Drosophila melanogaster: one gene and its partners. The protein of the gene in region 2 interacts with the protein of the main gene of each other region in a pairwise test. Each region holds a gene or a part of one and is shown on either strand. Other genes may lie near its edges. The genes, in order: fan, Tsp74F, Drip and CG6149.

Region 1 (3,336 bases), 9.8 Mb from region 2:
TCATCGGGCGGTGGCGCCAGCTTGTCAGCGTCGCCCTGCAGCTTCTTCAGCATTCGCGCAGACATCCTTCAAGTGTCCTTATACCCCTTAGCAGGAATTCTATTTAATTTCGTCGCAAAATACGTGTGTATTTCGCTGTTTTTTTTTTCTTCACCACATTCGCTTTCGCACGGCTGCAGGGTTGCCGAGCTCTGTGGCCACGCGCGCTTCACAGCACTGGCCTAGACAGGTGGTCCCGTCTTGGCGGGAATTGAAAAAGAAGTTCTAAATTTTAGCAAGTGCTATACACCTATACGCCTTGCCTGTAGAAGTTGGATCAAACTTGACGTGTTATTCACAGAAATTTTAATAAGTTTACTTTTTGTCTCTTCATAAAGTGAAATAGGAAAAAGCATTTTAAATTGTTTTGAAAAAATTTATTTTTATTCGACATTTCCTATTTTAAACTTATTTACTTCTAGTAAAGTGAGAATATAACATCTTACGCATTTATTGGTATACAAGCATAAACTAATTATCTATCTCAAAATAGAATATGCAACCAAAATGTCCTTTATTGACAAATAATTTTCGTACAATTTCGGTGCAATTTACTGCCTTATGTTCTAAAAACTGCCATGATAAGGAATTTACAAACGAGTCTTGCCATAATAGGCGCCTGCGACAGCGGACAGTATAATGATTACTATGGCGGCCATGTAGAAGAAAGTGCGCCCAATCGCCTGGTCACGCAAGCCGTCGATCTGGTCTGTGAGGGCCATATGCTCGTCCTCCAGCATGCTGACTTGCTTGAGCAACTTGGCCATTGGCTCACTGACTTCCTGGGCATCAAAATGGACCTCTCCGTCCTTGTTGTCCGTGGATATTACAGCTGAACCTCCCGCCTGACGGAAATCGTCCTCCTTCGAAGGGACTAGCTCACATTTGATCTTGGTTTCCCGAGTTTCATTCGGGTTCTGCATCTTCCAAAACTCCTGCACATCGCTTATGTCACCAGTCACCTCGGCGGCCAGGAGAAGGAACTTATGACGCTTCTTTATCTGCTCCTGCAGAATTGGCTGCATGAATATGTCAACGCTGACCTTCTGCTCGGGCCCCAAGACACCGATGTTGGGGCGTACATAAAAAAGTTTTGGAGTGGTGGTCTTCATCTTGAAGGCCATTCGCTGGGTCTTACTGGTGTTCTTGATGACTAGCTTCCTGCTCACCGAGCGGTTGAATGGTCCCTCAAAGACGATCACATCGCACGGGTCTAGCGCAAGTTTGCTCTCGGTATTGTCGGACATATTGGAATATTTGTACCTTTTTATTTTTCAAAAAATCGGAAGCGATATGAACTGGAACCGATTATGACCAATATATGAAAAAATGTGGTACCAAATGAACACGTTCCCTGACAATGCCGTAGTGCAAATGACAGAAAAAGGAATGTGAAACTTTCCATTTCAGGGCTGAATTGAGTTCACATATTGCTTGATTTCGTATGAATTCAACTTTTCTGGTGTGGACACACTGGTCGGTTTTGAAAGTCATATGCGCAGCATCACTATTATAGATTGCAGCTATTAGCTTATGTTGCTTAAAGGAATGTCTTAAAAGCTATATTTTAGGCTAATTTCATAAATTATATACAAACCTGTCTTTAAATAATGTTCAAAAACTTTTTAGAACTTTTGCAAATTGTAGTTTTTTGTATTTGTAAGTTCAAGATGTTTAGATAACAACATGATTTCGAGTTTCAGATCGTTCGTTTTATTTGTTTTTTGTTTTATTAAATATTTACAAAAATTCGATACGTTTGTGTGACTGAATGTGTGTCAGGTGGGGGATGGTCCATCATTTACCAAAATATCATGCGCCCGGCATTGGGGGAGGTGGCCTTGGACAGAATGATGCCCGAAAGTTCCTCGTCCTCCATTTCGTTGCTGTTTCGAGTGGGAGGAGGTATGGGTAAGATACAAATTAAAAAATGTTTGACAGGACTCTTTCGATTTATGCAATTATATACACGTTTATTGGTATCGCTATTTGCTTTGATTGCTTTCTTTCTTTTTTTTGTTGCTTGCTTGGTAATAAATAACAATGAATGTTGGTTGTCGAGACGGCGGATGCTGAGTGTAGGCATCGTATTAATCTCACGGTGTGCGATGATGGGTTTTTCGAAATCGAAATCGATTCGATTTGGTGGGTGGGTGCTTTTGTGGGCGGGGGCAGTACAACAGGCACAACGATAACAACAGTTACAACGGATTGCGGTAGCCAATTTCGCTTTTATGGTCTACAAAAAAGTCCGGATATAGAGAAAGAAAGAGGGAAGAAATAAAAGTGATAAGATATATACAAATAAAACATTTCGAATTCCATTAAAGGCACAAACACAAATTCAAATGCAGAACGCAATACAAACATTGAACAAAACGTATAATATCGGTACATGCGATTGATGATATAGTATGGACTGATTAAGCAGGGGAACAGGGCTAAATAGGGCCAATAATACACATTTAGTTTGAATTAAGTCACATTTTATTTCCTTTTTTTTTTGTATGTATTTCGATTTTTTCGGCTTTCGTATTTAACTTTAGGCACTATTTAAATATTAAATATATATTGCAAAAATCAATAAAAATATGCCTTAAAAACTCCTGCGCTAAAAATTAGGTTTGTACAGCATGTTTTGTTGTAAAAATTTTGCATTAAGTAAATTTCGATTATACGTAGTTTAAATATCACTTATGTAAATATTTTCGTTTTAAGCCACACGGGTTAATTTTAAATTTTGCAATTTTTAGTTTACGTTTTGCGGACGGTTACAAGAACATGTTGCATTCGCGAAAAATGTACAAATTTTTAAACATATTATTTATAAATAGCATTTTAAATATAGAGTGTTTTCGCTCTCCAATATATTTTTGTTTCTTGTAGTGTTTAGAATTAGATGGTTTCTGTTTTGTGTTCTATAAATTAGGTTTCGTATTTATGCAGTCGTTAATTGTATTTTTCTTTTCATAAATTAGTTTTCGCAATTTAAATTCGCTTACTTATTTTTCAATAAAAAAATAATTATCAAAATCAACAACTAATCACAAGGCAAATAGAGTTTGAAGATATAGAAATTGGCGGGGGAGGGGCGTTCGTATATATTTTTTGGGCAACGCAGGCGAGTTTTAGTGGATGCTTAGCGAAACGAGTCAACGAGTGGCGAGTAAAAATAGCGAACGAGTACCAACACCAGAGAAAGAGAAGTAGAGTCAGCGAGTGGAGGTAGAAAGGTTGTAAGGGTCCCCAGGGGGTGGATGAATGCGTGATTGGATGAGATTCTTTTTAGATGGCACA
Region 2 (6,558 bases):
ACGGATACGCAATCAGGTTCCGGCACCTTCTCCATCAATTTATGGCTTGCGATGGGTAGTATTATAGGCTTAGTATACAGAAATCTGTTGTAGCTGTAAGTTCTTAGTAGAATAATTTTTAATAAAAGTTAATTAAAGAAAATACTTTTTTATTCAAATCTTTAAAGTCGCTTGAGTGCGAACTTATTTTCAGTTAAATAACATAAAAGTTGTTATATTATCTGATGATAATTCACTTTGTAAACACCTTCAGGTCACAGCGTGATCCATACTTTCCCTATTTTCCCGCTTCAAAAATGTGACTTAAGACAAAAAAAACCTAAAAATATGCAACAATATTGCATGTAGATTAAAGCTTCGATCAAAAACAGTTTAATACTTTAAACCGTTTTTTAAATACAAATTTTTACGTAACATGGACATATTTCATGGACCAGATCATTTTAAATATTTATCCTTTTTCGTTTTTTTTTTATACTCATATCACAACATATCGTTTAATGATAATTGGATTAAAAATAAAAAATATTAATATATATAAACATTTCCGAAGTATTTGGTTTTAACTAATTTTTATTGAAAACAACAATGGACAGACATCTAAATTCTCTATTAAGTATTGAAAAGCTCACTTAAAACTAGCAATTGTAATGGGTTGTTGATAACGGTGGCTTAAGAGGAAATTTACAAAACTTCACACAAATAATACAAATTTATGCAACAGATAATAACAATAGAATCCCTACTAAGTTCAATACTCACTAGTTATGCGTATCTAAACACGTATATACATACAATACAATACATAATACAAGCGGACAGTTGATCTGTGCAGATCTAACATTAGCATACACTCAGATAATACTCTTAATTTAACTCCAGCGAATTATGTTTAAAAATGTGTTTCTTCTGGACTGTGGACCTTGGTATCTGATTTTCCTGCGTGACCATGGGATTCCCCTCCTCGTTGGCGCTATTCGATCATATTGAATAGTAGACAGGAGAATATCATGCCAAAGATCTAAAAATAAACCAAATTCCAATTAATTATATATTATATAATAATTTTGCTACCGAAGAAAGGCGTTCACTTACCATCAGTATGGCCACCGCTATGGATGTACCTCCAATAACCGCCGCGTGATCCCTGATGAAGTTGGTCGTCACATAGAGGCATCCCTGGTTGTACAGATTCGTAATGGTCGGGAAGATTGTGCACTCCTTACGCTGTCCACCGAAAAGCTCCTGGCAACAGGACTCAGGCACTGGTCCGTACCTATTCCAGTCGTGCCACGTATCCACTCCGCAGCACTGTAGTCGCTCCTGGGTCAAATCCCAGGCCTGGGTGATCTCCCTCCTGCTTCCGTATAGTGCCATCGTGGAACGCATTTCCTATGGGATATTGGTAAGGGTTAATGTGCCACCCACGTGTTGTTATCGATGGATTTGCCTCACCTGCCGCATGGTCTGCTGAACTCGTTCGCGGAACACGTAACCCAAGACACCGCCAATTAGCATGGTCACGAAAACTAGGGCCACTATTATGAAATACTGCAAAGGGAAAACGAGTGGTTAATTTTTTAGCTAAATGGTGTTTGCATAATAGTAAAGAAGAGACTGACAACATTTAGAAGATTAAATCAAATAGATCATTTCTTTAGATGGTATCTTTGTAAATATGCAAATCCAGATATGATTACTCCAAAAAGGACAAAGTTAATTATTTAATAAAATGAAATTTTTGTTTTTATTGTTTGTTGTTTACTTACTGTTAGGAGGAGGCATTTGACTTCTTTTCCGGCACCAACACAACCCAAAAAGGACACCAGACAAATGATAATCGATGTAACCAGCAGGACGTAGACAGCACCCGAGAAAAGATTTGTACCGAGCAACTCATTGACGAAACTCCGATCCACCAGAGTCCACAGGGTGAGACAAAACACAATCGCTCCACCCACCTGGAAAATACATATATTTTGGTATTATTTATTTCTCTTAAATTGTTTTTTAATTCAAGCGACTCCTGGATACTCACGAATATCACAAAGTTGGCTATGAAAAGACTGTACTTGACGAACTGCCCGCAGCAGTCCATTCGCGAACTGAAGCCCATATCGTCTTCCTTTGAAAGGATAATACATTTCAATTAACCAATTCAATGGGATAAAAAGATTTCACATTGTTTACTTTTGTCTACAGGTGAAGAGCCCCCAGAGGATATTGATGCGAGGAGAATTATGCAGGGAATTTGGGGTAGGATGAGATGCAGAGGTTCTTGATGGCGATACAACTCTATAATCCAAAGACAGATAAAAATAATTTCACACTATGCTTTAATTAAGTTAAAGTTCTTAGAGATCATTCAATTTCAACAGGTCCTTAGCGATAACCAAGTTAATCATAACTCATCATCCCGATTTCAAATTAGCTATTTTTGGCCTACTCTCTATTGCAATGTGATGTAATCTCAAGAATGTACTTTTTAACGAGTTTCTTTCGCGTAAGATTCACTCCAACATATGGGCTGCCTATCAATGGTGTTCGGCTTGGCGAGTGGTGCGCATGCGCATGCGCATGCGCAGCTGTGGTTTCGGCCGAACGTTTCGCTCTTTCTAAGCCGGGTCCGAACCGCGAAGCGACCGAAGTACACTTAACCATGACCCACTTTATGGAACTGCGACTGAGCAGCGAAGCTGCCAACGCTATGTGCCTAGACAAGCGTTCATTATCGGCGGTGGCTGCCAACGTCTTGTGGATTTTGTCAGTTACGGCTCTAAAGACTCGCGTTTTTTTTTTTTTTTTTGGTTACTTACATCGCATTAGGCCCACTTGAAGGGTTCGCTGCGCGGCGATTCCGAGACGAATTCCCCCCGTTGAAGTTGGAGCGATCAAAACAAATAAATCAAAGTAATAGCCTGCCCGAAAATTTGTCAGCTAATTGTAGTGGTTTAACTACGAGTGCCGTCCCAGCTCTGAATCATCTTGGCGCAGTGCGATGTTCTAAATGCTAATTAAAAGTAATTGCAGGCTGAGCAGTCGGGTACCCCTTCACCCCACTAGCTGGTAAACGACATCTCATTTCGAGCATTATTCTCCAAATTCAAATATGTTAAGCCGCAGTCGAGTTCGCCAGGTAATTGGCGGGGCTATTAAAAAAATGTTCTCACACTATCTGAATATTCACTATATTTCATTCGACGTTATCATGTTAAGCGAATCCGAATCGTGCCTGAGATGACAGTAAGTCATCCGAAAGTCGCCATTAATGATGACGGGGCGTTGGCGGCGGGGCGAATCACTATATCTGCCGCTTGTAAGCTGAGACCAATTAAGTTTATGGTAATTGTTCAGCTGTACGTGCTACACATGGTAATAGATCACTTAAAGCTCGGATTCCAAGTCCTGTCACTCATGAAAAACTTAGAAAATCAGACTTTTTAAGTACTATCTACTAAACTCTGAGCTCACTCTTTTATGCTCCTTTCATACCCTGTTATCTATCTGTAATCATAGGAATAATAGCTTTACTAGGTCATTTATGTTTAAAACTCGTATGTAATCTTTATTTGTAGGTGATGTTAGCTTAAAAGTTAGTGAGCAGAATCGGTCGAGGCTATAAATATGAAATATGTACTCCTTGTTTATACTCGAAGCTTGAAAATATAGCAGTGAAAATAGGAAAGTGGTCGCATTTGAAGGACCTCTGTATGAAATTTATGATTAATTAAAACAAATGAAATATTATCTAATAAGCAAATTCACTTACAAGTTTGCCGTCCCGTAGCACAAACGAAGTTTTCGTTAGGTAACCAATTTTGGCGGTTTTCTTTCTCAGCTTTGTGTATGTAAATTGCCTTCAATTTGTTGTTTTGCAAAAACACAAAGCAAAACAAAAGAAACGGCTACTATTTTTAGTTGCACTTGAATGCACAGAAACTTTGGGAGTGGCTATAAAAAAAGAAGGAAATTATTTTAACCCTTTCAATTAACATTTTTGTGGTAAGAAGTAGAAGAGTTTTTAATTTCACTTTTATTTATAAACAACTTTTTGATGAAGACGCATTCATTCATTTTTTCGGTCGATTTTATTAACTTGTTTAAATTTTTGGTTCATTCTTCATTCAGATCACTTCATTCAGATCAAAAGAGATCGCAAAGTTTACATACGCATATAGCAATTTATGCAATATTCGTTAATATTTGCTCTCGAATTTTTATGAAACTTTTTTAATACAGGTTTCTTGCATTTGTTTTAAGCGTCACTCGCAGTTGATAATTGTTATTGAGTTTTTATTCGATTGCTGTTGCTGTTATTGTCAATTGCAGTTCTCCCATGGCAAACAACTTTTTTTTTGCCGCCTTGCTTTTAACATTTGCTTTTCAAGTTACGTCACGCTTGCCAAGGCAGCATTATCCTTAGCGGAGTTATCACTGTACTGTCGGGATATTTCGTGGGGATAAAACTATACGATTCACTTGATGGACCTAAGTCTCGCCTTACAGGGATTGAGTGGATCCGGGGAGCTATGATACTATGGTTTTATATGTGGGACAGGGACGACTCTACCGCCCGAGAGCTCGCTTGGAACTGGTTGTGGGAACAGTCGGGGCGATCGGTTTTTTATTAGTTTCGCTCACAAAGAGCTTCGTTGTTGGGCTTTTTCTGGTCTCGGTCTCTCGACATTACAACAACTTCGACTTGAGCCCCTGTTTTCGAAGGCTTAGCACTGCAGGTGCGAGAGAGATGGGAGTCTCTACTCGCTTACAAACCGCAAATACTTCTCTGAATGTTTTCGTGCTTCTCTCTTATTTATTCATCTATTTTTCGGCTTCTTTTACCCACACTTCCCTTTGCGGAGTCGGCATGTGAAAATGCGTTGAGCAAACAAAATATGATCCGTCGTCCACAGCCAGCACCTTTGTTTCATTTCGGGCAATTGCAAAATATAAATATTGATAAGCAAACGAAATTTGATATTTGTTTTAGTTCTCGGTCTGCACATGGCAATGTCCGCATAATTGATTTTGGAGGCAAATCTATCCGAATTGGTTACCGTTTTGTTATAACAGTTTAAGTTTAAATACTTTTTGAACAAGGATTATTTGTAATGATTGTTTTCTTTCTTCAGTTGGATCATTTGCATCTATTTGCAACCATATTTATATTCAATATACGAGTGTTGATCAGACAACTTGATAAAGCCAAGTTTGTCAGTCCGTTCCTTTCTTACGCATTCTAGAATCATAGTTTTAAAGCTTGGAACTTTTCTAAAAATCTTCTTTTTATTGCTCGTAGTATGTGAATTTGTCTTCTGTATCATGTATGTATAAATATCGAAATTTAATTGAAAATATTAGAAAAGAAATCAAACATTGGCGAGGCTATCTTTCTTTCTTGATTTCAAGGGCTTAGTGTTCCAAGAGAGCACAAGGAAAATATGCTTATTATCCGTGTTTCATGTTACTTTTGCTGGTCGAACTCAATTGCTGTGCCGAAGGACAACCTTTGGCAATTAACAGCTTAATTTTCTTGTTAGTCGAACAAATAGTTTTGGCTGAGTTGAGTAATTTTTTAAGCAGTTTCCAAGCTAAGGTCAGAAAGTTGGCTGCCGATAGACGAATAGCTCACCCTCCCTACTTACACTCCACAGCACGGTTGAAAAGCGCTCAAATTGTTGGCTTGTTTAGCACTTTTATGGCCGTGTTAACAACAACCACCCGCCATGTCCCCGTAATCACCGACCAATGTGTTAGTTGCATGGCGAAAATAAAAATAAATCATAAAAAAAAGAAAAACAATTACTCTGCCTGTTGATTTTGCATCTTATAAACTCGCTGTGGGAACCTTTTGCGTTTTATAGATGCCATAAAATCCATTTCCACACACTCGTCCCACAGGCGCCTCATGATAAAATATTGCTCAGAAATCGAAGTTTGCGACTAGTGCTCAGTTATTCTTGCTCAAGTGGCCAAGAATCATTAATATTATGGGGAATTCTTAATTTTAAGCCAGTCAATTTCGCCTATGAACCTATACTTACTGAGATCCGATTAGTGTGAGCGAGTTGAAAGCCTCGTTGAGCTCGGCGAAGGTGACAAGCGTCAGAAGCGTTAAATTGTGGCACTTTAACTGATTGGAATGAGTCAAAAATTGGGAAGGCAAGCAAATGACTACTGGTAGTGGAAGATATAATTAAAATGTTAACCGAACTGCGCATACAACCGAGTTAACACAGCAACATGCATCATACATTATCAGATGCAAACTAAAGTGAAACATTGAAAAAACAACAAATGCAACATTTTTGATTCTCACATGACTTATCATAGCTGCTATAACTCTACTTACGCCTTCGCCACTTACTGATCTTCGTATAAAAGCTATCTCAATCAATCAAAAATTTGCATATTGCATTAATAAATTAATGAATCTATGGGAATGTGTAGTGCTCGTGAATAATGCATTGCGAAAGTTGAAAGGTTATCAATAGTTAATTATATAGAATTTACTTTAGCTTAGAGGAGTATAAAGGAACTTTTTTACACAAAATTCTA
Region 3 (5,014 bases), on a different chromosome or scaffold from region 2:
CTGGCATATTGTTTGCAATCCATTTTTCGTCTACAACAATTAATCAATTTAATCGGATTATTAATTTCGGCTTTGCGCAACTCTTGGGCACTTTTGTTCGGCAAGGTGATGATTTTATTAATAACAGTCGCGGGAAAGATCGAAACCTGTTCGCTGGCTATTAAAATCGTTATAAATTAATTAGTCAGATGGGCAGGGGACTATTCAGTTTTCGTTTGCTCGTTTGCTGTGCGGGAGGAGTACGTTCAAACTCACTTATAATCTTTATGGGCTTTTGCTCCAAACGAATTTATGTCGCTTAACTCGTTTACAATGCACCATAAATCAAAGGCAATTTATTGGGGTTTGTGGTTTATGACTAACTTTGGAAGTTTGTCAATTAATGGCGATAATTTGAGACGACACGATAGGGAAAATTGGGAGACTGAAAGGCTGTTTTTCAGGCACATAATGGATGGCATTTTAAAAGGCAACAAAGTTGTATTTCTTTCGGATTGTTTTTTTAAATTTGCAAAATATGCAATTTGTACACCAAAGCGGACTAAATTTTCGGTATGGCACACAGTCACTTCTACATCAAATCAATAGATATATGAACATTCCAATTATTTTCCGTAAACTTAATTGAACGTTACGTGAATCAAAAACTTTCCATGGGAACCGAACATCTTCGCTTCTGTGCATCTCAATGGCAGCTTATTATCTTAATTATAAGCTATCCGATTAACAAACAAGTTGATCTTCCATTGAGAACGGAGCTCGGTTGGATGGAATTAAGTAAATGGGGATGTGCACTAACTGTGTTAAATGTCTAAATGTTCTCCAGTCATACCAAAAACCATTTCCTGGCCTTAAGTTTGCTACTGTTTTGAATGCCAATTTCACCGTGATGTCATGTCAACTCCGCGCACGATTATTACTGTAATTTTGTTATATCTGCGAATCCGTCGCCACAAAAACAGCAGCTACTAACGTCAGGTGGAAGTCTGTCTACACATATATATATATATATATATATGTATAAAGTGATGTTGGTCCAAGATGACAACGCATTGAATTATGAGGCGGAGAAGACATTAAGCGAAAGAGGGATATCAAATTAGCCACACGTTTGTACTATAATTTGCAGAATTTCAGCGCCAAAGGGCTGCGAATTTCTCACGCACCTCACTCGACTATTTTTAAACGCTTACTGGTCTCAAAATTCCACCCGAGCATTAAGCAGCCACGTTAAGTGAACATATTTAATATCTAAATCAAATATTGAGCCCTGTGTTTAAACACTTGATCAAATAGATGCTCAGGCGTTGACATTAATTAGCTGGAACCGAGAATTCTTGGCTTGGCAAATGAGTATTCAGTGCCGGGTAAATATTATGGTCATTATCACAACGATATCGGCGGAACAGGCGGCGAAAATGACGCCAGAGGTTGGCTTTAATTCTGCGAAGCAACCAGAGGAATGCAATTAGGTTTTTAATTAATTTGACTGTTCAGATCGCACAAATAAAAGTTCCTACTTATTTGGCTCTTAGGGTGTTTTCCTCCAGTTCATTCACTTGACTGACTTGACTCGGTTCGGTGTGGTTTTATTGCTTTCGTTGGGGAGCCATCAACATCATCATCGCATAAATTGCCTCGGCCGGAGTTTCCGCTGTTGTTTACCTAGCTAAGTTTTCTCCTATCTATCTTTTTTTTTTCTTTCCAGGCTTTTCTGTCATGCAAACTTTCAGTTACAGAAATCATCATCAATCGCCACGGAAGCTAAATCAAAGCAACAAAAAACTACGTCTAACTATAAAAAAAAAAATAACTCGGGGCTAATTTGCTGTCTTTGTCATGCTGTGTCAGAGAAATTATTGAAAACCAATCATCTCGTTATCGTTATCGACAGGCGGGCTACTCTTTGATTCGCCCAACCACCCAAAACAAAGAAAGAAAAAAAAGAAAAAGATGATTTATCAAAACATCTTTCGATGGCTTATTAAAGTTGATTAATTGTGAAGGAATGATTAATTTAAGGCAAATTTTGGGTTACTATTTGTTTGCTTTGAAAGTGAAATCCAAAGAGGGGCCTATTTTGCAATAAACAAACTGGGTGCTTTATTAAATCAAAAGTAGATTTGTTAAAACTGTATTCATTACAAATTTTATGGTTTACTTTTGATCGTTTTATTTTAATGTAAAAAAACATAAGGATTGATACACTGGCAATAGCAAATTGCAAACGATTTCGATCAATAGTTTTGGAAATTATACACTCTCATTGGTTTGTGATATTATTCAAGCAAAAGTTGAAAGCCCCAAAAGAGTGGGATTAACTTTCGCACAAAACCATAACAATTTGCCGCACTCTCGCCCCCAAATTTTGCTCGCAATTAACCTTCGCACACACGCACACGCATATTTCGCATTCTCCAGCCTCCAATCGCCAATCACTCACCTGTTTTCTCGACCATTTTGCTGTCTTCTGTCTTCGGTCTTCTGGCTACGATCTACTGTCTTCTGGGGGCTGCCACTTGAGATTTTTGGCAAGCGTGGGGGGTTTCGAAGCGAACTTGTGCTTTGCTTTCGTTTTCAAAGCGTGCTTTTTGCCTTATTGCTTTTTGCTGCGGGTAAAAGTGAGTTAGCGCGCACTCGAATCGAACTGAATTGTGCCAATAGTTTTTTGTGGCCGAAATATAATTGTTAAGGTTAAGAGTCTTGAGGTTGCACAATTGTCTGCCACTTGACCACACGGAGTCGAATATGGGGCGGAAAGCGGTGTTGTTATCAATTTAATTTCACCCGATTGACTTATTTTCTTCACTGGGCTACAATATTTTCAGATTTCCTTTTCGAAATTGGAAAGCGCAACGTGCAATAACTCGATTTTATTATTAGTTTATTATTATCGCCAATTAAACTAACCGCTCCGAACTCGATTTCCTTTTCGGATTTTCGAAACTGCCGCTTTTCTTTCTCGCAGTTTGTACTGTAGTGCTGTAGTGCTTAAAGCTGTGCTACCACGTTCGCTGCTCGAGCGCAAATAAGCGTTGCCAACGCTGCGACTGTAACTGATATACTCTCTGCCGCGGTCGTCGTCGCGGTCGGCGTCGCAGTCGCGTCGCCGTCACTGCCCCATTCAGATTTTTTAGTTTTGGGGCTTGGCCACCGCGGAGCTCCGCATGTATCCACTTGGACGCCTCAAAGGATCTAAGCTCGGAATACACCTACCCCGGATGACTTAATCGAATGGGGGCGCGAAAACATTTGTAATGACTCTTGTGGCTTTTGATGGCTCTGTTTTGGCCAAAGTGAGTTGCTTGCCAAATACTACAATAAATCCCTACTTTGCCCTTCGAAAGTAGCTCTCAGTTAGTTCTGAGTGAAATTAGTCAGTATAACTTGTGGCGTAATTGTTTTTTAAAACAAAACGTATGAGTATGAGTAATACCCCATTCGAGTCTACCCCATAACACGAAACATTTTCCAGTCATGGTCTTATCAGCTGCTAACCGTTACTGATGATATATGGACTCTCCCCCAAAGTTATTCTATAACCAATTGGCATAACATCGGTTTAAATCAACTGTTTCATATCCGAAAAAGCCACTCAAGGGCCTTAGTCTTTAGACGAATCACATAGATATAATATAGATAAGATAGGCACATATGTACATATATCCATGTATAAGATATATATACAATAGAAAATGGTTGTCTTGCTTAGTCTTTGGTAAATGTGATGTGATAATCACATAAAAGCTCCCAAAATATAGCATTGCTTATATGGTGCCAATTAAAAACCAATGAATTGCAATTAGCCGACAGATGGCCAAGTTCATAATCGAATTGTTATTGACCATGGGGAAAGTTCACAGCCATTTTGGGTTTTTGCACACAGCCTAAGAACTATTATTCGCCTGCCATTTTGTTCACTTGATATATGGACACTCAAGGAGCCATAAACACATTTTTGATTAATCTAATTGCGCTGGTCATGCCGAACCTCAGACTCAATTATCGCATAGCTAAGATGTTATCATTACAGGGGGTTTTTGACTTTTGATAATCCACAAACGCTGCACGTGACTGTTTGAACCACCCACCAAACGGTTGTACTAGACCTACCACCCACCCACTCAACCATTCCAATGCCGGAACAGTTTTCATTTTCTTTTAATGGCACCTTATTGCAGCTTTTCCAACTTAAAACGCGGCTAATGGGTTATGGACGGTTGGGCCGTTATCAGTTTCACTTTTAAACAGCTTTTCACCAACTTTAATATGCCATATTGATTGCGGGGCTTTGCTGGTGAAAAGGGCTTTTACCTTGTCGTCGTCGCGGGCTATTTTTATCTCTTAACAGAGCAACAGTTGCGAGTTATTGACAAAACAAGTGACAAGCCAAAATAAAAGAAGACTCGCTCGCCAAGAGCTGCGATTTTGTTTGTGGGGAAGCGTCTTGGCCCATTATGAAAACAAGAGCCAAATCGCAGACGGACTTATTTGTGCCTTCGCATGGGGAATTCAAGCGAAGTATGTATGTATGTACATGCCGGGGCTCTTTTGCTTTAATGAGTAATTATATTTAATGGCAGTTAAGCATTAAAATGGCACAAACTCTGGCTAAATGGGCGAGATAATAATCGCCGATGTGGAGATGGTATATGCCTGTCGAATTACCAATAGATCTTGGCTCCTTTTCAACTGGAGTTTCATTCACCAAAGTGAGTTTGCCCAACGATACCAATTAAAAGTATAATTTTATCTAGTAACTAGATGGGAATAGTTGAAATCATCAAATTAGATTCGCTTTAATTGTTATTAAGCAGTTGCAGATTATCTACTATAGGTTTGTAAAATAGATTTAACAAAACTTTGAATTCATCGAAAGGCACAAAGTAAAAACTCAGAATTAGACATTGGAAATAATTGTTGTTAATGCTAGTTACAGATAGTACGTAGCTGTTGTGGGTAAATTACCAAAATTGTTTATTTCCCTCTTTAGAACTTATACTGAAAATATTAT
Region 4 (3,041 bases), 6.5 Mb from region 2:
AATGGGCTGTTACCCATCTGCCTTTGCAGCAAACAATGAAAAACTGTGCCTTTCTTCTCTGAGTTTCGGCTGTCCGGAGATCACTTTCGAAATATTGGCACAAGTGGTGTCCTGAAATATTCGAAATCGGAGCCCACATCCTAGCCAAACCGGAACCTCCCGCTGAAAGGATTGAGTAAAACAATGGATCGGTTTTCCAGAATCAGCTGGCAGCTGTAATTTCCGCACGTGACTATCATATAGTTGAATGAGAATATGTTCGAATCCATATGGATTCCGCTTCTTAGCAGCTGGTTTTTCGATGATAAACGCATTTGAAAACCAAAATAATATATTCAGAGCGATTTCCGGTTCCGTTATGTGTGTTGAAAAATTAGATGATTTCGACTTTTATATTGCAATTGATCTTTGTACCGGAAACATGTTTTATTACTTTCGAATTGAATTTTATGGTTTCTACAAAAATGTATATTAGTTTTATTACTGCGCCTTTTGTACGATTTGAATAGTTGCATAGCTTGACTTCCACAGTAGTCATATTTAATTTAATAAGAAGCATATCCTATATACTTTATTTATGTTCCTATCCTTAAACTATCAAATGTGCATTTCAATGGGAATCGATCCATCTGTGGACACCAGTAGATCGCTGCCACAAGACGTTATTAACTCGCTCGCCGAAGAGATAGTAAATGAATCCGAGGACCATGATAAGGACAAAGAAAATTACTCTCAGCTGCCAGGCGATGCCGCCCAGAAAGGGATACACCCAGATGTCGGTCCGGAACCAAACGATATGTATCCACACCAGATATCCCAACATGAAGGCACCCAGTCCAGTGAATCCTCGACTGCGTTTCGGATATTGATGTCGTGTAATACCCAACTCCACAAAGGCATAGATTACGACGAAGGTGTGCATGGTGTGGTTCAGCCAATTGGGATAGACCAGGTCCAAAAGCACCGGATATATCACTTCCCGATCGATGGCGAAGAGTGTCCAAAAGGTGAGACCCACCGTAAGGGCCAGAGGTACGGCAAAGGTGGCGAAGATGTAGTCTCGCAGCTTCCTTAGAGATCTCAATCGGAGGAGGTCAAAGGTCAGCGCCAGTGTATAGTACCCCAACTGCAAAAGGCCGCACAGAAACGTCATGTACTTAAACTTGCCACCAATCGGTGGCTCCAGGCGCAGGGTCACCGCCACTTGTGGCAACTGGGCATACCGACAGTCAAAGTAAATGGCATAGCCCAGGTGAACGGTGGCCGACAGGTGGAAAAACAGGCGAGCCCTGTTCGACAAATTAAGTCGCTCCATTTCCGGATAGATACTAACGCATTTGTCGATGGAGCTATGCTAATGTGGTGCAAATCGATCCGGCATAGGGAAATAGCCTATGACCGAAACGGATTCGCTAGAATAGTGATGCAAAATAAGCTCTAATTTTTACCAAGTTGGGTGAGAAAGTTTAAATAGGTTCCATTGAAACAAATAAATAACAATTTCAACCATGTTTCTAGTTTTGTAATCTACTCAAACAACTATTTGAAGGAAACACATAAATACCGTATCTAAAACTTATAGATAAATGTGAGTTTGGATATACAACGTATCAATTTCATCGTTAGTTTAATTATTGACCCACTGCGGAACCGAAAGGTAAAAGGCGATGAGTATTGACTCAAATGGAAATGGGGAGTTTGCCGTTAAAACTACAGGGGTGCGACCTTGGACACAGCTGATTCGTTTGGTCAGAGGTCCTTCAATTTCAGGACCAGATGTTGCGATGAAAATGAAGAGGAAGGGTCCACCAACCGCAGGCAATCAAATGGATGTGTGTTCCGTAAATATTTGTTTGTTTTCCTTTGTCGGCCGTGCAGATCTCAGTGGATAATTAGTCAGGCCCATCACCACCATATGTCCGACGAAAACCATTCGTAAATAGTTAAATTACCTTTTTGCCAAATTCGATTCAGCCATCTGACGGCGAAAGCGAGAATAGGTAAAACTATTTGTTTAACAGTGACCTGATAATTATTAGTTATATTTAACAAATATTAGTAAATAATTATAAATATACATTATATCTCGGAATACTGAATCAACTAGGAAGCCCAAAATTATATCTTATTAGCAGTGCAAAATAAAAGTAAAAATTTCAAGGACTTTTAGCTGGGTTTTTTTTAGTTTTTTAATAAATCCAGCTCACTTATCGATAAAAACTAGCTCTTAAGTAAGTCGACATCTGTTTGATTAGTAAGTCTTTGCTGTTCGAATTTGAGTCTATTAGTTAAATAGTGGTCTGTTACTATTTATAAATTCAATTTAAGCGTCTGTCCATGGTGATAACCAAATGGATTTAAAAACGAAAGGAGTCGCAAAAACTCAGTGCCGTGACGCAAATTTGGATATTCGAATGCCTGCGAAATATACATATGTATATACTATATAAGAACGATGTGTGCCCATACAATTATGATCCGCACTGCCCAGACTAATTGGAGCAATGTTGTTAATTTTTTAAAACCGTTGTCGGACACGTTTCGCTACGGTCATTGCGACAGAGTTATTTAAATATAGGCAGACATTTCTGGCCGATATTTTCGCACATAAAAACGGGTGTACAATATTTGGCAGTCAAATAAATGTATCAATCCCTTTAGGACCGAATGTTGCAGACTGTTTAGTTAGCACTTGTATGAACTCTGAGTTTGTAGGTGTATTGAGTGTAATTACACTATAAATAATCTATTGAGTTTTATCACTTTGTTTAATATAAGAATAAGAAAACCATGTTTAAATCAACTTAAGTTGGTTAATTAATTTTACAGACACATTTTTATTTTCGTATAAAAAACACACTATATATATTTCAAGGACGTATACATACTCCACATATTCCACTCTAGATTTTAAAGGTTATCAAGCATGTTCTTAGAAACTTTCAAAGGGAATACCTAAAGAAATTGTTAAAGTTCCTTATTTTGTTTCCCCTCACAGTTTCAGTTTCGTACATAATTAATGTTGGATCATCTTTTCACTG

Evidence for each region.
Region 1: the proteins of Tsp74F (region 2) and fan interact in a two-hybrid assay, tested with the Drosophila melanogaster proteins (one large-scale study listed by BioGRID).
Region 3: the proteins of Tsp74F (region 2) and Drip interact in a two-hybrid assay, tested with the Drosophila melanogaster proteins (one large-scale study listed by BioGRID).
Region 4: the proteins of Tsp74F (region 2) and CG6149 interact in a two-hybrid assay, tested with the Drosophila melanogaster proteins (one large-scale study listed by BioGRID).

What each region holds. Positions count from the first base shown.
Region 1 is NT_037436.4:8,107,228-8,110,563, reverse strand, and holds fan (farinelli), read right to left. Parts: upstream 1,433-3,336; 5' UTR 1,287-1,432; coding exon 630-1,286; 3' UTR 521-629; downstream 1-520. Other genes in the region: Nulp1 (nuclear localized protein 1), read right to left, coding at 1-65; Sarm (sterile alpha and armadillo motif), read right to left, coding at 1,841-1,925.
Region 2 is NT_037436.4:17,891,262-17,897,819, forward strand, and holds Tsp74F (tetraspanin 74F), read right to left. Parts: upstream 4,602-6,558; 5' UTR 4,505-4,601; intron 3,952-4,504; 5' UTR 3,770-3,951; intron 2,296-3,769; exon of another isoform or gene 2,191-2,295; intron 2,126-2,190; 5' UTR 2,117-2,125; coding exon 2,039-2,116; intron 1,962-2,038; coding exon 1,770-1,961; intron 1,552-1,769; coding exon 1,456-1,551; intron 1,393-1,455; coding exon 1,096-1,392; intron 1,022-1,095; coding exon 974-1,021; 3' UTR 559-973; downstream 1-558. Other genes in the region: CG7402 (uncharacterized protein), read left to right, coding at 1-93.
Region 3 is NT_033778.4:11,426,610-11,431,623, forward strand, and holds the start of Drip (drip), read right to left. Parts: upstream 3,037-5,014; 5' UTR 2,460-3,036; coding exon 2,444-2,459; intron 1,195-2,443; exon of another isoform or gene 843-1,194; coding exon of another isoform or gene 833-842; intron 1-832. UniProt on the Drosophila melanogaster protein: Forms a water-specific channel.
Region 4 is NT_037436.4:11,434,147-11,437,187, forward strand, and holds CG6149 (uncharacterized protein), read right to left. Parts: upstream 1,331-3,041; 5' UTR 1,316-1,330; coding exon 611-1,315; 3' UTR 549-610; downstream 1-548.